3 linked regions of the Neodiprion lecontei genome follow. The protein of the gene in region 2 purifies or fractionates together with the protein of the main gene of each other region. This does not show direct contact. Links are inferred from orthologs where the notes say so. Each region holds a gene or a part of one and is shown on either strand. Other genes may lie near its edges.

What was found.
Region 1: the proteins of DNA-directed RNA polymerases I, II, and III subunit RPABC5 (region 2) and probable DNA-directed RNA polymerase III subunit RPC6 purify together in Homo sapiens (co-immunoprecipitation; 3 studies listed by BioGRID and IntAct, with this or other methods). This does not show direct contact. The link is inferred for Neodiprion lecontei from reciprocal best matches to the Homo sapiens genes POLR2L and POLR3F.
Region 3: the proteins of DNA-directed RNA polymerases I, II, and III subunit RPABC5 (region 2) and DNA-directed RNA polymerase III subunit RPC10 purify together in Homo sapiens (affinity purification with mass spectrometry; 3 studies listed by BioGRID and IntAct, with this or other methods). This does not show direct contact. The link is inferred for Neodiprion lecontei from reciprocal best matches to the Homo sapiens genes POLR2L and POLR3K.

What each region holds. Positions count from the first base shown.
Region 1 is NC_060266.1:590,525-598,373, reverse strand, and holds probable DNA-directed RNA polymerase III subunit RPC6, read right to left. Parts: upstream 3,583-7,849; 5' UTR 3,500-3,582; coding exon 3,414-3,499; intron 3,193-3,413; coding exon 2,574-3,192; intron 2,487-2,573; coding exon 2,325-2,486; intron 2,244-2,324; coding exon 2,169-2,243; 3' UTR 2,109-2,168; downstream 1-2,108. Other genes in the region: bromodomain adjacent to zinc finger domain protein 1A, read right to left, coding at 1-196, 296-510, 931-1,069, 1,166-1,278; uncharacterized protein LOC107216885, read left to right, coding at 4,200-4,280, 4,356-4,730; 26S proteasome regulatory subunit 4, read right to left, coding at 4,868-5,002, 5,077-5,312, 5,461-5,847, 5,925-6,486, 6,748-6,750; protein transport protein Sec23A, read left to right, coding at 7,397-7,849. UniProt on the Homo sapiens protein: DNA-dependent RNA polymerase catalyzes the transcription of DNA into RNA using the four ribonucleoside triphosphates as substrates.
Region 2 is NC_060261.1:2,107,189-2,114,886, reverse strand, and holds DNA-directed RNA polymerases I, II, and III subunit RPABC5, read right to left. Parts: upstream 3,759-7,698; 5' UTR 3,652-3,758; coding exon 3,557-3,651; intron 3,327-3,556; coding exon 3,218-3,326; 3' UTR 2,083-3,217; downstream 1-2,082. Other genes in the region: proton-coupled amino acid transporter-like protein pathetic, read left to right, coding at 129-312, 407-573, 1,299-1,531. UniProt on the Homo sapiens protein: DNA-dependent RNA polymerase catalyzes the transcription of DNA into RNA using the four ribonucleoside triphosphates as substrates.
Region 3 is NC_060260.1:9,404,310-9,411,057, forward strand, and holds DNA-directed RNA polymerase III subunit RPC10, read right to left. Parts: upstream 2,713-6,748; 5' UTR 2,566-2,712; intron 2,443-2,565; 5' UTR 2,436-2,442; coding exon 2,109-2,435; downstream 1-2,108. Other genes in the region: yrdC domain-containing protein, mitochondrial, read right to left, coding at 1,107-1,862; cytoplasmic dynein 1 intermediate chain, read right to left, coding at 6,288-6,446, 6,591-6,748. UniProt on the Homo sapiens protein: Core component of RNA polymerase III (Pol III) which synthesizes small non-coding RNAs using the four ribonucleoside triphosphates as substrates. Can mediate Pol I proofreading of the nascent RNA transcript.

The DNA of each region.
Region 1 (7,849 bases), on a different chromosome or scaffold from region 2:
AGTCTCGCCTTGCTCGCAGAGTTGTCGCAAGAATATCTTATTCCTTTCTCTGCTGTAGTGTTGTTTGCGTCGTCGCACCTGTGAAGCCTCAACTATCATGAGCTGGCTAACGTCTGTGTCACCTCCGCAATCAAACTGCTCCACTTCGTAGCGAAATAATTTTGCCGGAGGTTGATACTGTCTTTCCAGCATGCTTCTTTGTGTAAATGGTTAAAAGAAGAGACAAGGAGATAAGAAGACACCTAGTTAGGTCAAGAACGACAAGCCATTGCCCAAACCGAGATTTGACAAATACCTGTTATTTTCTTTTACGTAAGAATTAATCTGTTGCTTGGTAGGCTCGATGACCTGTAAAACGTGACACTCGCACCAGGCATCTTCGGTAAAACTGGCCTCGACCATTTCTCCTACAAAGTATCTGTCTCGTGCGAATTGATAAACATCCTCGACCATTTCATTAAGTGAAGTCCTGTTTGTTTTGCTCGCCAGGTATAAGATTGGAATTCGCAACTGCAATCAAGACCCAAACGTAATTTAAACCTCAGACACTGTTATCGAGATTCTGGTAATAATCTAAAACCAGGTTACGTAATGCAATACAATGCATTATGCGGCGAAGTCAAGATCAATTGTCAGATAAACAATTTTCAATTACTAGGTTATGTTGCAGTTATTTGTAAAACGTGTATAATCACAGACTGGATTTCCTCCGTTCGAGGCACATCTTTCATCGGAATATCATTATCAAGCTTCTATGTTCACACGAAAAGAAACACTCGGATTTAGTAAAGTCGTGGGGGTGTAAGAGAAAAAAAAAACCTAGCGATCGTGACTGAAAAAAAGTGGAATCTTGGGGCTTCGAAGAAGTTCGTTGCTGCCCAAGCAAAGGTATGTTAGAAGAATGTGTATGTTGCATTTGATGTGTATTACCTCCATGGGAAATTCCTTGAGACTCTTTCTCGCATTTTCCTCGCTGAGCAATGCCTCTTGGTAAGTGAAATTCGGCTTTCCTGTGATACTACAGGACCAGACGAGTGAGTTGCAGAGAATAATTCTTTCGCAGAATTCACTGAAAAGCAGGAGAAGACGTCGGAGACGTTACAGAACAAAATGCGGCGAGTGCGTTTGTCCGTAGGTGAAAATGATCGAGCTGTCAAACACTAACTTGTAATCTTTGAAGATCTCGTTGGTCGCCTCGCAGTGGAAAACCTCGTCGTCGTCGCGGAAATCGGAGGAGACGTGCAACTTGTGAAAAAGCTTCTTGCGTAGGAGAGGCATGACGACGCTGGCGCGAGCTGACCCGACTTGTTAATTCGTCACGAAACACTCTCTCCGCAGAAATCAATCTCAAGTGATCTACGTTCTGGCCGATTATACACGTCCCGCAGCCCCGCTTCGGCCGCCCGTCGCCCTTAAATCTCCACTTGGACGCACAACCGTCTTGCCGAGGACGCTACGCAACCCTCTAACTATCCTCGGGGATGACGAATAAGCGATTTTTCAATAAAAATGTACAAATTCATGACAAGGCGCGATTTAACGGTGTCTCGGAAAGCGCGCACACCTGGCAAGACTCACCGGATACCGCGTTTTGCGTCTGCGTCCCTCTTGAAACCGAAACGCCTGGGGGCCATTTGGCGGGAGAGACCATGGAGCACGAACTCAATGGGTGAATTGACAAAACTTGTCATAGTAATCGTTCACGTCAGGTTTGTTTTTTGTACCACTAGCGTCGCCAGCGTCCCTTTTGTACCGAATTGTCTCTGGCTGCAAGGATGCTAATTGTAAGATCGAATGATCGGTGATCTTGCGTTGTGATCTGTAGAAAGTTTTCACTACTGCCTTATAATCCGTCCAATACCTTCGGTGCATACGGAACATCAGTGCCATCTTACTTCAGGCAGCTATTTGGTTGCATGGACTTCGTGCTCCTTGTATAGTCCCCATGGGAGAAACGCTCTGCTATAATCATGGAGAATAAAATTTCGGCAACAATCGACCACCTTGTTTCTCATCTTTGACACTACGCGTACCGTGCAGTTTACGAATTAATTGTACAATACAGGCTTACAGAGATGGATCTCGAATAAGAGCAGAATAAACGGAAATTCACATTTCATGGATCTATATTTATACACAGATTCAACGCGAATTTCGATGTCAAAACTTCACTCCAACCATTCCTTGATGTAGTGACATTTCTTTGGCGTTATTTCTCCCACGTCGCAGCAGTTTTTTCTCACCTGAAAGCAAAATACAGTATACCTCAAAGATGCTCAACGATCATTCGTCGCTTCTCGTTTATTATACAACATTAAATATACCGGACAAACACCGCAAGGTGTTCTAATTAATCCTGGAGGGCTGAGCAACGGTTCGACCGCTCGGTACAAGTTGCTTCCGTCGCTTGACAGAGTTCTTTCCACTTTGCCGTCGTAGATAAGGGTATTCAAAATCATTTCCAGATCCTCCACGGAAAGCTTAACCTGCAATATTATCGTTTCATTTATTTAGTCAAAGTATTATCGAGGAGTAACAGCAAAAAGTTAGTGAAAGGTATCCCGTTGCCGTACCTTGCTTATTCCCAGATCGGAAATGAATTTCCAAACTTCTTTCGACGACGCAAAAGCTATATTTCTTGCACCGATAGGACCGTCCTTGCAGTTTTTTGTACTGTCTTTTTTTTGCTCCAAAAATCTGTAACACTGCTGGTTTAGAATATCGACGAATTCTGCCTCAAAGTCTTGATCCTGGTACCACGCGCCTCCGGTCACAGATCTGTCAGGCTCCAAGTTGTAAAGCATATATACCTTCTTCTTGCTAGCCGCTACCGACTTTACAGCTTTAATGAACTTCTTAGTTTCCAAACTTTTTAAAATTTTATTCAGCTGCGTCGGCATTAAATTGGATTTGAACCTGATGTCGCGTATCCATATCCCCTTGTTCCCAGCCTCTTCGATTATATTATAAACAACTTTCTCCTCGTTGTCTGCCCCTTTAACCGATTTAGCCTTGCTCGGATCTTTCAAACGGTAAAGAAGAGTTCCACCCTGCTTGAATAAGTCAAAGTATCCCTGAGCCAATAGCTTGTTTATCGCTGCCGCCTTCCGCGCCGGTGCCAGATCTGGAATCTCAGCAGATATGTCTTTATCCGAGATGCCCTTCGGCTTTGCTTGAGCCAAGGAGATAATCCTGAAATCAAAGCTGTACCTCTTACACTGTTGCACAAAAAATCTCGTTTAACAGGTTCCCTTCAATTTCATTATACAAAGTTAGAAAACTATGGAGCTTTGAAAGCGTAACAAACATTTGCTGCTATATCCGGTCTATTTGACAGTTAATTGTTATCTATTTATTACGTTATTAACGGTCTGTTTGACAGTTATTTGACAATTAATCTTAAAGCATCATACTTTTCTTCGATAAATTCTGGCGATTCACCCACATCGACAATTCTATTTATTTCTCGCTCACTAGAGAATTCTCCTCTGACATCCATTAGTATTTGATAATTAATCGTTGACTCAAAATCTTACGAACGAATTAGAAGCAATGCAATGAATTGCCATCGAACCTTGCAACGAACACGTGTGGCTGCGGCGACGAACCCACGTGACGTACGCCCCCTGTAGGAAAAGGGCTTACTATTGCCACTGATTTGGTAAAATACACAAGTCACGTGAACGATTTGTTCATGATAATCAATTTATTTCATTTACAGGAATTGAGGGGATAGCTAAAATCCGAGACTCAGTACTCTCGACATTTCGCCCACGTTGGACGCTCCATGCTATTCCTATTTTCATTTTTGTTCAATTAATAAATTCATAACTATTTTGAATTTTATGTGGAGAAATGCATGTTGCATGCTTGGGCATTATCAGGCGTTCTTGGTGTACGTTTGGTTGCATGTAATTGGGCGCTTTATAAAACACCTTTAATTACGCATATAATCAGGCGTAATGTCGTACAAACAAGTACCAACAGTTGCATTTAATTGATTATTAAACACTTTGCTCTTCTCTTTCCGAATAACAAAGAGGAACTACCCTACAATTACTACTTTACTCCCGCTTACACAGTTTGCAAATTTTTGATAAATTATGTAATATGCGTACATCGAATGAATAATCGTACAGATTGTGTCAGATCCCGGGACTTATGTGACACTGTCAAGTGATTGGAAACATAACCTTGAAATGGATGACTGTGAGGAAATTGAGCATTCAGTAGAGCTTTCCGAAAGAAATTGGAATCGAGTTATAAATAGAGCAATTAAGGTAAGAATTCTCTGGTAGTGAAATGACGAGAATTTCAATCAACATTACTTGATCACAGTCCATCAACTTTCTCAGGCCGGTTATAGGGAAGGAGTTGAAGAAGGAAAGAAATCAGTTTTCCAAGAAGGTTTTGACATCGGTTACAAAGACGCTTTCGAAACTGCCTTCGTATTAGGAAAATACAAGGGGCTGGCAACAGCCATGAGTAACGACTCTCAAACTCTACCAGCTACAGATGATGTACTTGAAAAGACAAGGCGAGGGGCTTGCTACGTCTGCAATGAAAGTACGAAGAGCAAAGTAAAGACAGATGATTTCGTTAAAATGCCGCTGCAGGATATAAGAAATGGTCAGAAGAAATATTCTACAAGGATACTAGAGACGCTGCAGCATCAATTTGACGAATTGACAAGCAAACACGTAACATGTATCAACAATGCAGTTTTGTAGCATTATGTCCTGTACCTGTAAAGTTAACCCAATCAATTAATAGTTGACAAAAGTTGGTTGAGTTAAAGAAAATTTATTTATTCGAATTTCGTATTATTACGATTGATAAAAAATACAAGGGAAAGCGAAAAATTAAATTATAAATATAATCCTTCAGGCGATCCTTCCTTCTTGCGGTACAACACACTCTCCTTGGATTTCTTGAAGTCGTCGCTGGTTACCTTCATACGGCGCTCTCGTAAAGCCATGAGACCAGCTTCGGTACAGATCGCCTATGGGAAAAGTTAACTATAACTTTCCATTTTTACCCATACAAAGAATCTTACTTTTACTGCAAAATAATCACCTTTATGTCAGCTCCGGATAGGTCATCTTTAGCCATGATGAGATCTGCCAGGTTTACATCTGGTGCCAATGTCATTCTACTTGTGTGAATGCTAAAGATTCTCCTCTTGGTTTTTTCATCTGGCAGGGGAAACTCGATCTTTCTATCGATACGTCCGGGTCGAATTAGTGCCGGATCCAAAGTTTCGATTCTATTAGTTGCCATCACTACTTTGACATCTCCACGACTGTCAAAGCCTGTCCATTTGAATAATTGATTCACATTAGCACTTTTGCACATAGTGCCGATAAGCGGTAAAACATCAGCACATCATCAAGCACTTGAAGATACAAATAGTTATTTTACTGACTCTCTGTCAGTATGGAGACAAAATCTTTTACTCACCGTCAAGTTGGTTTAGTAGCTCCAGCATAGTACGCTGGATTTCTCTTTCGCCTCCACTGTTGCTGTCATATCGTTTTGTACCAACAGCGTCAATTTCATCTATGAATACGATAGAAGGAGCATGTTCCTCAGCAACTCTGAATAGCTCTCTGACAAGTTTCGGGCCATCCCCTAGATACTTCTGGATCAATTCTGAACCAACAACACGCAGGAAAGTCGCAGATGTCTGATTGGCCACTGCTTTGGCCAGAAGAGTTTTACCCGTTCCCGGTAAACCGTAGAGTATAACACCCTTGGGGGGCTTGATTCCCATCTCTTCGTAATATTCCGGATGAGTGAGGGGCAATTCGACCGACTCTTTGATTTCCTGAATTTGTGTATCCAAACCTGGGAAAGAAATATGATGTCAGTGCATGCTTCTGAGAAGATATATGATACGTCGCTTGAAAAATACAAAAGCTCACCTCCGATATCGGCGTATGTTTCTTGCGGGGCTTTCTCGAGCTTCATCACTGTTACCATCGGATCCGTGTCATCGCCAAGGACGCCAACAACGGCGTGCACCTTGTGATTCAATAAAACAGAACATCCTGGCTCCAGCTGATCTTTGTCAACGAATGACAAAATCGACACGTAATGCTCGGACCCTACAGATGTAGAAACAATGGCGTGATTGTCGTCAATTATTTCCTCCAATGTCCCAACCGACATCGGCGTTCCTCTAAGATCGTCGACCTTGGATCTCTCCTCTTCATTTTTCTCTTCCTGCGGCTTAAGTCGCTCCTGATTTCTAATGAACTCCTCCTCCATCAACAAGTAATCCTTGATTCTTTCATACTTCAAGAGCTTCAGGCGACACCTGGTGTGGGGCGTGACTTGGGGCAATTTTGTCGCAGCGTCCGGTCCCTTGGTTCGTCGTTTCTTCTTTCCTACGCGCGTAGGAATTGGGGGCTCGTACTTCTTCTTCTTGTCTTTGTCATCCTTCTTGTCCCCTCCCGTACCTCCTGTTCCCGACTGATTCTGACCCTAATTTTAGAGCAAAAAGACACCTGGTTTTACATTCCGGTCACGTATGTCGTATAGACCCAAGAATTTGGAATAAGGTATTTCCAACAACTCTGTGTCAAAGCCAACCTCCGAAATATCGTCTCCCTCGTATTAAACGAAATTTTGACAAAAATCCGAAAAATACAACGACGCAGAGTTACGATTGATTACTTAATTTAGAAACTTGGTTTTGGGTTTGCGTTGAGACCTATGAAAATTAAACAAACGTTAGGTACGAACCATTTATCTCGGCAACTGACAAACACGAAATCACGAAGTCATCAACGAGACCGATGAACATAGGCGAAGCAGTCGTATGACAGAGAAATCGGACGGCCAACTCTCAGAGGCTAAAATTCTAGTTACAACCAGAGAGAACGATTGATCTGCCCGAGAGTTTGCCTGCGTACGCGTTCTTCAAAGTGACGTGGCCTCAAGTGACGGGTGTGGGAGATTCCAACATCATTCTTAGTGTTTCCTCATTTATTAAGAAAATTATGTACTAACCGGCCCTGAGGATTCTCTCGAAGCCGTTTCGTAAGATTTTTCGTGACAAGATTTCACTGTATTTTCAAAAGTGGCAGCTGTCAGGTAAGTTTCCTGTCATAACCTAAAACAATCGAACTACTCGCACGAAATTTGCGTTCATTTTCTCGATCAAGTGTAAACTGTATGCGGTAAGAAAATCAAGACCTGACTAGAATACGTAAATATTCATTGAAGAAGCCTTATTTCCTTACCCTGCAAGTACACTACATATTTGTCGTCCCCAGTTCGTCGCAATCCAATTTTATGAACTGGCCTCAAAACATCACCATCCCGGCTTCTGATTCTCTTGCATGCCTTCATTATAGGTCTTTGCTTAAACTGAGATAAAACCCAGAGCGATATGACGACATACGAAGAATTCATTCAGCAAAACGAGGATCGGGACGGAGTAAGGTTCACATGGAACGTGTGGCCATCATCACGAATCGAAGCTACACGGCTTGTGGTTCCATTGGGGACACTCTACCAGCCGATAAAAGAGCGCCTAGATCTCCCGCCTATTCAGTACGATCCAGTACTGTGCACAAGATCGACATGCAGGGCGATTTTGAATCCACTTTGCCAAGTAGATTACCGTGCCAAGCTCTGGGTCTGCAACTTCTGCTTCCAGAGGAATCCCTTCCCTCCCCAGTATGCAGCCATTTCGGAACAACATCAGCCTGCCGAATTGATACCGATGTTTTCTACCATCGAGTATACTATTACTAGAGCACAGTGTCTGCCACCGATATTCTTGCTTGTTGTGGATACGTGTCTTGACGAAGAAGAACTGGGGGCTCTGAAGGATTCGCTG
Region 2 (7,698 bases):
ACGAACAGCCGATAAAACTCGCGCATGCGCGGTTGATTTTCAAGTTTCAAGAGATTGTCCCGGGTATAATGTAGTGTAGTATGTAATATGATATATACTGTACGGTATACCTACACTAATGATTTCAGGTGTTGTAATGCCGCTTGAGAACAACATGAAAACGCCCCAGCAATTCATCGGTATTTGCGGAGTTATGAACCAGGGAATGTCAGCCGTAACTCTGATATACATGGTGATCGGTTTTATGGGGTATGCAGCGTACAGAGATGGAACCAAGGAAAACATCATAACGAATTTGAATCCAGAGGACATGTAAGGATTTTCAACACTCCGTTTCATCGCCTTCTCGAATTCGATTTGACCTGTCGAGCTGATCATTATAACTTATAATCGGGTATATTTTCAGCCTTGCTCAAGTTGTCAAAGTTCTGATCGCCCTCGCGGTTTACTGCACATTCGGACTGCAGTTCTACGTGTGCTTGGAAATCGCGTGGAACAGTATAAAGGAACGCTTCCTTAAGAAACCGCAAATCGCAAACTACCTTCTTCGCACAGGATTAGCAATGGCTGCTGGTTAGTGTGCAAATAATTAAGCGTTACGTCATTGTTCGGCGTTCTAAATCGATTGATTGCATATGGGGCATTCCACGTCAAATTAGCCGCCAATATATACCTCATCATCTTCAGTTTCAATCATTTTTTAGTACGATGTTCACAGTGACCCAAAAAGGTCTCGGAATTTTTCTCAAATTTTTTTTAGCCACCGCTGAAATTTTCAAAAAATTTAAAAATCAATTCCGAAAATTCCGTTTTTTTTTTAAATCTGAAAATGTAATTTTTAAGCACCACACCATAATGGAAACTCGGTATTTACTATTCTTTCGTAAGTTTTTAGTTTCTCCATTCCCCAATCGAAATAGATCACGGAATCATGAAAATAATGTGATACGGCAATCTAATTATTTATAGATCGAGGCGGGGGGGGATCCGACATGGAAAAACTTAAAACTTAGTAAATATTGAGATCCCATTATCGTGTGCTACTTAAAAATCACATTTCAAATCATAGGATCAGTGTGAATTTTCGAAGATTTTTAAAAATGGCTTGCAATTTTGTATAAATTTCACCAATGGCTAGAGAAAATCTAATAAAAAAAAAAAACTTGAGATCGTTTTGAATTGGTACAAGAACATCATACTAAAACATGATCAGAATCGAATCAGGTAGGGTACATGGGCTGCTAATTTGACATGGAATGCCCTATATACATGCCTCACGCCACCGTTGTTAATTTCAGTATTAGTGGCCGTCGCAGTACCGAAGATAATGCCGTTTGTCGGACTGATCGGCGCCCTGTGTTTCTCCATACTGGGGCTTATCATGCCACCAATCGTCGAACTGATTGTTCGATGGGACGAAGGATTTGGCCGAGGGTATTGGTTGATTGTTAAAACTATCCTCGTGGCTTCTTTTGGTCTGGTGGTTTTACTCTTTGGAACTTACACTGCCATACTAGACATCTTCAAGTAAATCATATCCGTATAACTGTTTAATTGAATTATGCGACGACGCCTTGCCTCGATTTACACTTTGTTAACTGTTCATAATTTTGCTACGAATATGTTACACGTGTTTTTGATAACAGTTCGTAAAATTTATTTTCCACTATTCTACTATCGCTATTTTTCAAGCTCTTTCACACTGTGCACACTTGCTTGTCGGCGGTAAACGAATCGTTGAGTGAAATCGTAACATTTTTTTTTTTGTCATCTATTATGCAAACATGAAATTGGGGCGGAAAAAGATTAATATTTAATATCAATTATTCGTCAACAAACTCTACCGTTAAATGTAAACGCGCAATTAATGAGAATTTCAAGCTCTTTTTTCAAATCCTATTGAAAAACAAAAAACAATTATTCTTAGATAAATTTATCTAAGACAGCCCCCATATTTGCCTCATCATCTACAGACCATCGCATCATCATTACAATCACATCAAAGTCGAAGGAATAGATTACCCATAGGAAAAAATTTTTGTATATCATAATAATGAAATATAGTATTTTTTTCACCCGTGATAGGTACTAGGACTGTTCGATCATACACGATCTGTTATGCGAATAATTCTAAATGAATCATTAGATTAGAGATTTCATCTATTTTTGTATTAGGAAGTTGAGTAAATAAATTATTATCATTAGGCGAAAAACAGGGGATGAAAATTAAATAGAAGGTAAATCATTGACAATTAGATGAATAATATTGTCGGTACTAATGCGAGGTTGTGCAAGGAAAATAGAAGAGACAATCCTAAGACTCAAGAGTTTTTGTACGAACTTCATTCAAGCAGTTATTTTTTAAATAATCAAGATACGATCTTCTACAATCGAGTTCGCAGAACGCGAACGGCGATTTAGTATAAAAATTGCAATATTGTTAGATAATAAACAAACAATTATGCTTTGTTTAGTTTCTAGTTGTTTCTGAATGAATTAAGGCCAAAATCGTCTTGATATTTTACCGAGGAGGTAGGGGGGGGGGGGAGAAAATGTGAAAATACCTTTATGGATTAGAAAGTATAATAAGGTTATTGAAGCGTTTGTTATTTTTTAAAAAAAGAAGAAAATAGAAAAAACCAATAAATAAATTTCTCGCGTTAGCAATACATGGAATTTTTATAAATTGTAAAGTTTTGAATTGATTCAATACCAAGTCATATTTTTGGTGTCTATTTCTAAAATAATCCCTATACGTTAGAAGTCTATTACTGTTATTTCTGCATCATAGTTTGATAATTATTTACAACTTATACGAATCAACTGATTAGTCTTCTAACAAATCCGGATTACAAAATTGAATGAAGATCTATTTCTTCTTTAAATAGAAAACTATATGTATGAAGATGTTACAACTAAGAATGTTTTACGATATTTGAATAGTTGATACTCGAAGAAACGACCGGTATAACCAATTGTAACCGATTCAAAGTATATGTAAGCTGAGCAATTTTTTTTTCAATAAAACAAAAAAAAGGACCTGTTTTCAATAACCTCGCATGTTTTTTATTTGCAATGAATTCGATTCTGGCATTCGTGATCATTTTGTTCAATGGAATACTTTCCACCTTTCTCGATGGACAAGAGGTGAACCGAATTCTTGTACAAAGTTATACTGTCTTTTGTAATAATCATTGTCCCAAATATTTCCTATGTGTTACTTTTCCAACGGAGCATAATTCAATAATTTTTCAATAAGATCGACGTGTCCAAGCAGCATGCGACGGCAACAGTATCTCTTCAGGCCGAGGGCATCCAAGGCATCACTGAAAAAAATTGAAGGCAGTTCTGAGTTTGGATACTCTAATTGAGAATTTACCGAAAGAATATTTTAATTATTTTCTACTTGGCGATTCGAAATTGTAGTATTGCATATATATTGAGTATCGAAAGACGTTGAACAATTTTCATTCAAGTTCTAAGGATAAATTTATTGTTGATGTTTTCGACACCGAATAGAATAGGTTATGTTCGTGCTCGCAAGTTGCGTCCTTACCCTTCCGTATATTCTGCTTGCAGTAAGCCAAGATAAGCTTCCCATTTGTTGCCAATCACTTTACCGCAGGTGAAACAACGCACTGGAATGATCATTCTGCAATAATATTCCTCGCGGAAACGATAAATCAAAAAATTGAAACCACACTTGACTCCACGCTGCTTAACCTCGTGCGATTTTGTTTCAGCTCTGGACCACGCTCTGGACCATAAACTGTACAGCTCTATGAGTGACAATGTTGACGGTATCAGTCGGTACGTCAGAACAAGAGTTACCAATTGGACGATTTACCTTCGCTCCTGGATGAACTGATCTGTGATTCCGTTACCCGTCGGTAAATCAAGTCTTATAATTTTTACGCAAGATGGCGAAACCACGCAATCAATCTCAATTCTTTGACCGGCATTCGTGATGAAATCCGAATTTGAATATGGAACCGGCCCGTATTTGAAACCTAGTTTTTGAATGACTTTGAACTTCATTAAATTGGTAATTCGAAAGTTACGTGTATTTAAGCATAAAAATGAATTTAAGATTATGTGACTTAGAAGACCTTTGTAATGGCGTTCTAGCTCAAAATTTCACATTAATGTCTCGTGGGAAGTTCATTTTTATGAAACATTTTTATTTTTTTTTTTGAATAATCTGGTAACGTGAATGCATGATATTCCATAAAGAGGCAATTATTCGTTAAACGAATATATAATAGAACGCTCAGGATAGAATGTCGTGAATAATTATGAAAAAAAGTTCGATACTTTCGGAGCAGCCATATCTGCAGTATATCATGTGCGCGTGATATCTCAATTTAACGATTCCTCCACTAGGCGGAATTGTTTACCATAAATTGACACTTCTTTTACATCCCCCGCTCGGCCGTTGTAATAACAACGGAAGACTGTAACTATGCGGGTTATATTAAACAATTTGAGACTCGAGCTCGATTTATAAACATCTGGCACTGCGGGGAATTCCAGTATACCACACATTCACCGTATTATACATCAGGCTCGGTTGCTCTGCTGCGGCTAGACTGCCATATACCAATGGGTTATTTTTTGAGCGAGCTACCGCCTCTGCACCCACTAAACCCTAGGAATTTCCCGTACCTAGTTCTCATCGTAATTCAAGCCGTTCCGATGACCGTCGCTTACGGGCACGTTGTCCCGCAGGCTAGAGTAATTAAGGGGTTATACCTAGTCGAGATTTATCAAAAATCGATTTTTTAAAATTTCAATTTCGTAATGTAGACATATTCAAGTGTATACACAGAAAATTTCTTGTCGACCCGAGAAATATTCTCGATGTTACGCGCACGTTTGCAAAGGCGTCTCGGAGCGTTTGAAAGTGCTTTTGAAACTATGAACGCCTTTTTCTCAAAACTATGTTTTCAAAGTCGGTGAGCAAGGTTTCTCGAAAACGGCTGATAAGATCGGTCTCAAATTTTTACACAAGCTTTGTGAATATATCTTTCAGTCTTTAATCGAAGCCTTTTCTCGTTAATAAATATTTGCCATCTTATGAAGAAATTAAGGCGAAATTTTTTATGGAAAATGCATTTGTTATTTGTTTGAGAAGCCGCCGTGTTGTTAGCAATTAATATTTTGTTTATTCCTCCGATCAAAGACTAGATAATACCTTATATTAACTGAGTCTTTTTTGTTTTTTCATTTCCGACGATTCAGTCCAGAGATATCTTGCTCGTCGAAAGACACCATTTTTACGTGCTGCTCTCGCGGATCGGCTATAGCAGCTTTAAAAATCATTACGTTTACCAATAAAAAATATCAGAATGAATTTCAACGTTACCCCAATATGTATATAAATTTGTATGTTAACAAAATTGAAATGTCTCTTGATGCAAAATCCTTGAAAAATCGCTCCTTTCCGGCCTCCTGCGACTGGTTATAACCCCTTAACGAACCATCCTCCAGCATGTGAAATGTGCAGCGACAAAAATGTTGAACAGTATACCCAGAGAGTTGATGGCTCGGTGGGAAAAGGCAATAATTATAACGCGGTAGTCATACGCGTCAACGTCCCTACGGACGGTTCCCCCAAGTACAGGGAACATCGCGGGCTCTGCAGCGCTGCTAACTACGCTACGCACACTCTCCCTCTCTCAGCAACGGTTCTGTTATTCTATCTCACGTACGCGGCTTTCTCACAACCACCGGCGCACATCCGATGGAATATAAGTTTTAAGGCGTGTTTTGATAGCGTCAGGGTGTGTCTGCCGGGAGCCAGGGGATTCCTACCTAATGGATTGCCGCCGCCGCCGCCGCCGCCGCCGCCGTCTCACCGACTCCGCAACCGTCTTCCTCGCGACGACGACGTTGCAACTTAGAAAGCTCAAGTATTATACTTATAGGGTGCCTTATACCGGCCGAAGACCCTGCGGTTGTTTGTGCTTTCGCAATGTGTGTTCGATAAATCGGCCATACGCTCTTTACCAACCATCATCACCAAAGCTGGAGGAAAGCACTTTCACGTCCGAAAGCTTCGTCATGGTTGCAGAATTGCAAGATTACCGCTCCAATCTCTAAGCAACTGCATATAGGTACCATTATGGGCTTCCAAGATTGCTCGAGCATTCCAAGAAGTAGCCCATTGTGATTTGGGCGCATTTTGATTGGTACGAAGCGGTCTTGATATCTTTCAGATTTTCAAGGGTCAAGTATAATCTCGCAGGATCGCCATTCGAGCGGCTGGGCTCAACCAACGAGCCGGGCGAAGACGGGGGCCGTCTTCGAGACGGAGATATAGTGGTCCGCTTTTTGAAGCCAACACAAATATTGTTTCACATAAATACGCGTCAGCGCGTAGCTTGACTTGGAAGCTCCGTATTACCCACCCCGTGTCGTGTGTTGGTTACATACGTGTGCCCACGTGTACAGAGTGCGCCAGTAGATACCGCATAACATTAAGCCCTAAATATTCGTGCTCGCGGGCGCCGTCGGCGCGTATATCCCTTCGATCCATCCGCACTTTTCGGGTATCCCTCAAACTCAAACCGGCCGCGGAGCTTCACCGCCATATCGTATTCGAGGAATTCAATTCCAAGAATTTTCATCGCCCGTATAATTTGGTAGGTAGTTAGACGTGATAATGTCTAACTACTTCTCATTTTCTCTCAACCTAGCTGAAGAGCCTCACCGCGATATCATATTCGAAGAATTCAGTTCCACGATTTTTCACCACCGTTATAATTTTCTAAGTAGTTAGACGTAACAATTAATGTCTAACTACTTATAACGTTCCGGATACCTCAATCGGTTGGTTAAGACCGAACGCGTCTGCACAACTGTGACCTAACTCGTTCCATTGGTTTCCTTCGTGATGCTTTCCTCCACAAATCCTGAGTTAACGATTGACGGCTTGACAGCTTCCGTACTTTGCGTCAGGTATGTTCAATGCGCTTTATGCGCAGCTTGGCTCTACGAGCATACGACTGTGCAGGATCTGATTATGAATTCTGATGAGAATGGTGCATGGAACTATTATAGAATCGCGTGCTAATCGGTGGCCGACAGACGGGTGGATGGATGGATGGATGATGGTGTTGTTTTCGTAATGGAAGTAGTGCGCGTGTCTTACAAACCAGCAACATGCTGCAGCAGCAGTAGCAACAGCGCGACGCGTCGTATAGTCTGCTTCTTCCTACTCTGCACAGTATCTACATACAAAGATAGTGTGAGAAGAGCGGATCGCGAGGGGGAAGCGAGATGTGGTGAACCGAAGCGAGGCGCGGCGAGGTGAGGCGAGGCGAGGCGAAGCGACAAAATAATTTATTTTGTTAAACAACAAACGGTGTTGTGTTAGGTTTGCCAAAATAACCAAAACAATACTATACTACTCGCTCTACTATATCTACCTACATTTCGTTCGTTCGTTCATTCATTCATTCGTTCGGTCGGTGCCCGTAGTTTTCAGCCTCTCTCTCATCCATTCATGCACCTCAGTTTCGTTTTATCACGATCGCTAATCTGCTTGCAGTGAAAATTTACGCTACCATTCCGCTCGAAAATTTTATACTGTTCGACATTAACAGGTTACTAAAATCCAAGATATATCATCATCGTTTAATGTTGTAGCTAATAAGCTTGGTCCGTTTATTCGATAACCAAGATTAGCAAGAACGA
Region 3 (6,748 bases), on a different chromosome or scaffold from region 2:
CTGCAATTTCTATTCCCCAATTATACAGTTTGTAGAATAATAATAGCGGATAGCTCGACATGAGTCGTTAAAAAAAATAAGTTTGACATTGGGCAAATGTGATTGTACATTATCTATGTCAAGTATGACAATATTTAGCTAGCTCACGAGTTTATAAATTATTTAAATAGCGAATGCTATAAGAAAAATGAAAGAGTCGTCAGCAGTTGATATAGCAATGTAAATGATACAATGATTTTCTCAAACTGTACTGTACTATATTATGCCAAACAAAAGACACTATAATTGTATTTTCTTGAACCAGTGTATGTTTATTTGCAGCTTAATTAATAATATCTATAGTGATCTTGTAAAGGCTCCTACATATGTAGCTAGTTTTAAAAATATTCTGATCGCATTGACATCTACACTGACACCTAATCAGTCAATGAGCAATATCATACTGGTTTTAAAACTGACACATAACTAATGAATTTGAGCAAAAATAAGCGCGATTATTATTATTGTTATCGATTACGAATAAATGTTGCTACTTGATTTTACTATTAGCATAATTGTTCAAAGCTGCAAAATAAATATTGAATAAAAGACCACAATGATAATACCTATGCACTACACTCCGAACATTTTGCTAATGCCGAGCCGATCCAGTTCATTATTATATTATTCAGAAATAAACGATATCATCAACTGTGTAATCATTTTGTGCATTGTAAATTGATTAGCTCTCGAACCCCTGTTTCAATATGCATTGGAAAGTAAATAATCTTGATTTATGGAATTCGTTTCAATAATTCAAACTGACAAACAATACAACGCGGTTACGGAAATATATTAGCCTGCAACGCACACAGAGATTTTCATATTTGTCATTCTCTAAAAAATTTTTATGTATTTGATATCATTTTCTATCCAGCTTTTGTTATTCAGCACGAATTGGAGGAAACAAATTGACAGAATATTTTCTTTGTTTAGACTGTATTTTAAAGAAAAAAATTTTAACATAAATATTTGTAGTTTTTTATAACAATGATTTCTGAAAACAAAATCATAGTATCATGGAAATGTAATTTTCGCTATTTCTCACAATCGAGTTCATACATTCATCAATGTTTATCATCACAATCTACTAACTGGAAGCTTTTCAAAACTTGAACAGTTTCGAATTCAGCGCTTCCTTTACGAATTATAGAATATCCGCCAGGCTGAGATAAATCGACAACAGTAGACCCAGCTCTTGCCAATCCATTGCCTGTGACTCTTTCATCTGGATAAAAAACACCTCCCAAATGCGACCACAATGCCGAAAATTCTTCCGGGTGTATCGTGCTCGGCTTGTTGCTCTCATTGGCACTTGTTAAAGCCAACGGCTCCCTCAGTCTTTTAGAAATATCTCTGATAAATTTTGCATCGGGAATTCTTATTCCCACATTTTGCACATTAGGATTAAATAGCGGGTTCAGCTTTGGTGTACGTTTTAAAACTAACGTCACAGGTCCAGGAAATAACGCTTCCAACAATCCATCTGGCAGAGAATCGACGATACCCCAATATTTTACATCCACAATTTCACCGACACAAATTGCCAGCGGTTTACAAGGATCTCGTTGCTTAATTTCATACAACTTTTTAACAGATTCATTACTTTGAGCCAATCCTGCCAAGCCATAGACGGTATCCGTGGGCAACGCTATGACGTGTTTATCTTGAAGCAAGCGAACGGCCATAGCCACATTCTTTGATCCATAAGCAAACCCGATACCTGAAATACCGGGGTGTAGATTTTTTAGCTGCGTCTCGAGCGACCTCAATGTTTGTTTCACTGGACCCATGGTTTTTTTCCTTACTTCATCAGAACTCATCGTTGGTCTGCTGCGAAATAATTTCAACATTCTTCTTGATTATGACAGTAAATTGATCGACGAGTCCTGAAAATTTTCAGTCTTATCTCTACGTGAATAGTTGTATAAGAATCTCTGGTAAAATAACCATTAAAATGTTCTGTACTCAAATTCTCATTAAAATAATGATGTACACAGATTTGAATTGTAGAAGTGATTGCTCAATATTTATCGCCTCCAAAAACCAATGAAATTAAAGACGTACAATTAATCTCGCCAATTGTGACTACACTGTGGATTGCAGCATCTGTAAAATGTGGTCATTGGCTCGTCGGCAGATCTTGTCTGTATCTGCATGAAGTAGGCCCGAGAATGCGAGCATTTAGGGCAGCGTTCATCTGTCGCATCGACGTTTTCCCACGCAGCGCTGCCACCTAAAACGTCGTCTACTTCCTTGAGCTTTGGATAAGTCCGACTTGTTATTCTTTGCGATATATTAAAAATGTAAGGGCAGGTATTGCACGCAAATCGGTAATTCGCCACTCCCGATTCGACATGTAAAATATTTCCACAGGTTGGACAAAATAACAGCATATCACATCTGAAAAATGGGAATTTAGGAAATAAGAAGTTCGCATACAGGGAGGTTAGGACTGTAGAAATTCGATGAATTATTTGTCCACAAAGGCAAAATGATGTAACAATGAATTATGTTTAAACTTACCTATTTAAATTGTATACCACACGCGAAATTATTCACTTTTTTTGCATGTTATTACTGGATTACTAACAGACACGTGATAAACGACAGAACGAAAATTCTTTGAGTGATGCGACGATGCGACGGCGCCGTGTGTATAATGGACGTGGGGGAAATCCACGAGGTGATCGACTTAACTCGTCTTCAAGACCGTCAGGAATCAAGTCCACGCGCAAAAGGCGCGGTTAAATTCGAAAGTTATTAGGTAACATAAAATATTGGCTATCAAGATGAAAAACAATTTTCATGGATATGTGCGCTGTCAGAATACGTGAAAAACGACGCACAAAGGGCGCGATTTGTGTACATAATAATTGAGAATGGTTATTTGTGTAGCTGTGAAATAAATCACTCGAAACAATGCCATCATTGTTCAAACTTATATTTCACGGATTCTTGACAGTATCATGTACGAAAATGTTTGAGGGGTCCTCCAATAATACGTAACGCTCGAATGGAGGCTGGATCCTCAAAAATAACGTCATGCAATATTAGAATGGCCTATCAGTAAGCCTAATTCGTCAAAGCCATATCAACCATTCAAATGTCCAAGAGATCAAGTAAAAACTTATTATGGCAAAATATACATTGATGGGATTAAAAAAATCTTAGAAATAGTGAACTTTCAAATAAGTTTCTCTCGAATAATTTTTTATCGTGACAGACAATTTACAGACAACTTGTATGCATGTTATTTACGAATTAGACAACCTGTCGGACATTCGTAAAATTATAGTTGGCATACAGTCAACGGCTATCAACTTCAAATGTGCATGTTTTGTCTCTGTTAAGGGGAGAATACGGTGAAATTTTGATAATATCAAGTTTTTGATTTTTGAAACAGATAAACAAAAGGTGATCGAAAATTCCTTCCAGCAGAATTTAGATTATGGTAGTATGTGTCCAGAGAAAAATTTTTAATCACCTGCGATGAAAGTGTATGCGCAAGGAACTTTTGGGAGTGTTACGCTGGAAATTTTCTGCCAAAAGTTCCTTGCACATAGACTTTCATCGCAGGAGATTAAAAAATTTTTTCTGCACACATGCTACCGTAATCTAAATTTTGTTAGGTGGAATTTTCGATCACATTTTTTTGAGCTGTTTTAAAAATCTAAAACACCATATTATCAAAATTTTACCACAGTCCCCCCTTAAATTAGTGGACTTGGTTTTTGACCAGCGATTACTCAAATACAAGTCGCCTATGCTCTACTCGAGTAATCATATTTATCGTGTTCTTCAGGTTTTTATTTCAGGTCAAACCTTGAACAAAGATGATTATACTTACTGATTGAATACCAAGATTCGCGTAGTCAAGTACCGAATTTGCATTGGCTTTCAAATCGCAGATGTGAATTAAATACACTGTGGTTCAAATGAATAAGCTTCATCCGTGGTTCAAAAATAACGTGTAAATTCATACACCTACTACAGAATGACCTGACGCGATTCTACTTGAGAGATGTACATATATACATACATGCATGCATACACACATACATACATACGTACGTACATACATACGTACATACATCCATAAACAAGTGCGAGACTTACCCATTGCCAATCGCCTACACCATGTCAGCCCTCATTGCTCAACTCCACATTTACGACCATACCAGGTTTTCCAGAGATTCGAATCCACAGTTAATTCTCGCAGTTTTTTCACTTTCACTATTTCACTGTTTATAACGTGTCAGAGGCTTGATTGCAATTGTTTCGAACGCTTCAACAAGTCTGGTTTACTATCACTTACACGTTAGATTGCGAAAAACGTAACAGCAAATTCGAACAGTCGCACGAATAAATTTGTGAAAAAAAAGTTGACACTGAATATAGTCACGAACCGATTACACGGAGCACGAAACGAATGAAATGATATTATACTATTGAAAACCAATTTCAGCTCGTAAGATTAGATCACTGCACTGCGTTGATTCTAACGGCTTAACTTATTTTCGATCGTGAGTATGAAAAAATAAAACAAGCAACGACTACCAAACAACGCAGTCGTTTGTTTTGGCCATGTAAAACTAGAGGTTGAATTCATAACATGCGAATTTCAGTTTAGGCTGCACGTATCGAGTAAACCAAGAATAATTTCATTTATCTACGACTCTTATTTCAGCAGACACAGAAAAACTCAAATATATATTTGATTTAACACAAGGCACAGTCGAATTAACATCCGCGACGCGCACGTCCGAACTTGACGAAATTCTACCGCCGACTGTCAATTGTCGTTCGACTCGCCGATTAGTGCCAAGATGGCCGCCACTCGGAAATACTCTGAAGTTCGTGCATGTGCTAATATTCCCGCGTAGTTTAAATTGGAGAGTAATACGAATGCGTTATAAACGCATGTGCAAATACCTAAATGCAATGAACTAGTTGACGGAATATTCAATAATTCGTAAGTTTCTAAAATTATCATTGCCACTTTATTCAATCAAATTTTATAATAAAACAAAATTATTTTTTACTAGAGAATTTACAAACGACGGAAAATATAACATTCCGCTGGTAGCTATAAATGTATGCACGTATTATACAATTACATTTTAGGTATACTTCAAACTATACCCATGATACAGTTGCATAAGTATTACTGAAATAATATTACGATGGCTTCATGATAGAAAAAAACAACTCTCTTCCTATAAGATCCTAAATTAAATAGTCTTCAAGTATTATATAGAATATGGATAAAGGTATCGACTTCTTTATGCGAAATAAGAACAGCACTATCACGGTTCATGTTGACACAACTTTCATCATAATGTATTTCCATTGTCAGTATAATTTTACTTTTTTTTTTTCTTTTCATAAATAGTTATTGAGATTATTCGTGCAACGCGAATATTATTAAGGTAACATGTTTATTAAAAAATTTGTTACAGGGCATGGAAATAGATTTTAGCAAACGCGCTTTCCACCATAATAATCAAACTTAAGCTATTTCATTAATGAACAATGGAATTTATAACGAGACATTTTTCGTTGAGATCTTCAATTATGGATGCTGATTTTTCACCCGGATCTCGATTAGATTTTCCACCATTAGAATTACGTCTTCTGCTCTGTTATAAAGTATAGCGTGACTCTTAACTCGTATTATTTACATATAAAGCATTAAAAATATACTCGAATCATCTGTACTGAGTATTATATAATAATTGCAGTGTTCAAGTTTACTGCATGTTTTTTCATCCATTTTTTCAGTTTAATTCATTTATTCACTCTGAGTTTGACAGACTAAGTTTCATTGCTCAGTTTATAATTCACAATACAGGTTCGAGGATTTAAATTAGACGACTTTGATTTGTAACACAGAGCAGTACCACAAAATGATATCAATTGCTTACTTGTATTAAACGTCCGATCAGTCTGTCTCGTCAAAATGAAGAATATCTATCAGTACAATGGTTATCTTTTACGTTTCACATTAGTATGATTCACTTTGCTACAATAACTGCATAGTAATGATTTATTTTTTTGACTACAACATTAATATAGTAATATATAAATGTATATTACTCCAAATTTGTTTTGTAACGTTTGACTTTGACCGTAAAAGAGTGAGTTTTATCTGCGGTAAGCTGTTTCTTTCTAGTTATCAAGTGGTACAATTAGTTTCTGAGTAATTAGGTAATTAAGTTAATAAATCACTGAGCTTCAATATATTTTTATCTGATCGGACCCGACAAAGATGGCATGGATATCAAAGATGAAGGGCCTGAACTCAAGTTGAGCTTATCCAACTCTTCATCGGCCTTGTTGTTCTTCAGATCTTGCTGGGTGTAGAGGAAATTATTCCATTCGTCGATTCGTGGATGAGCGAAATTCTGTAAAACGTCAAAAGCATAGATGTAACAATCCTGACTACAGCGAAGTTAAAATTAGCAAAATATCATGGCAAAATTGAGATAAGATTTTTCAAAATACAACTGAATATAATGATAGACATCGTGTTATACTGCAAACCGTACCTCAGCTACATCGTAAACCCATATTTTCCCAGTATCATCGCCCACAGTAACATGCAGTCCGCTTGGCGTCCAAGAGACTGTGTTTAAAGCAGGACATCCATCAACGATTACGCTCGCTGCTGGAACCTCTGTATCCTGATTTAAATTCCATAAATCTA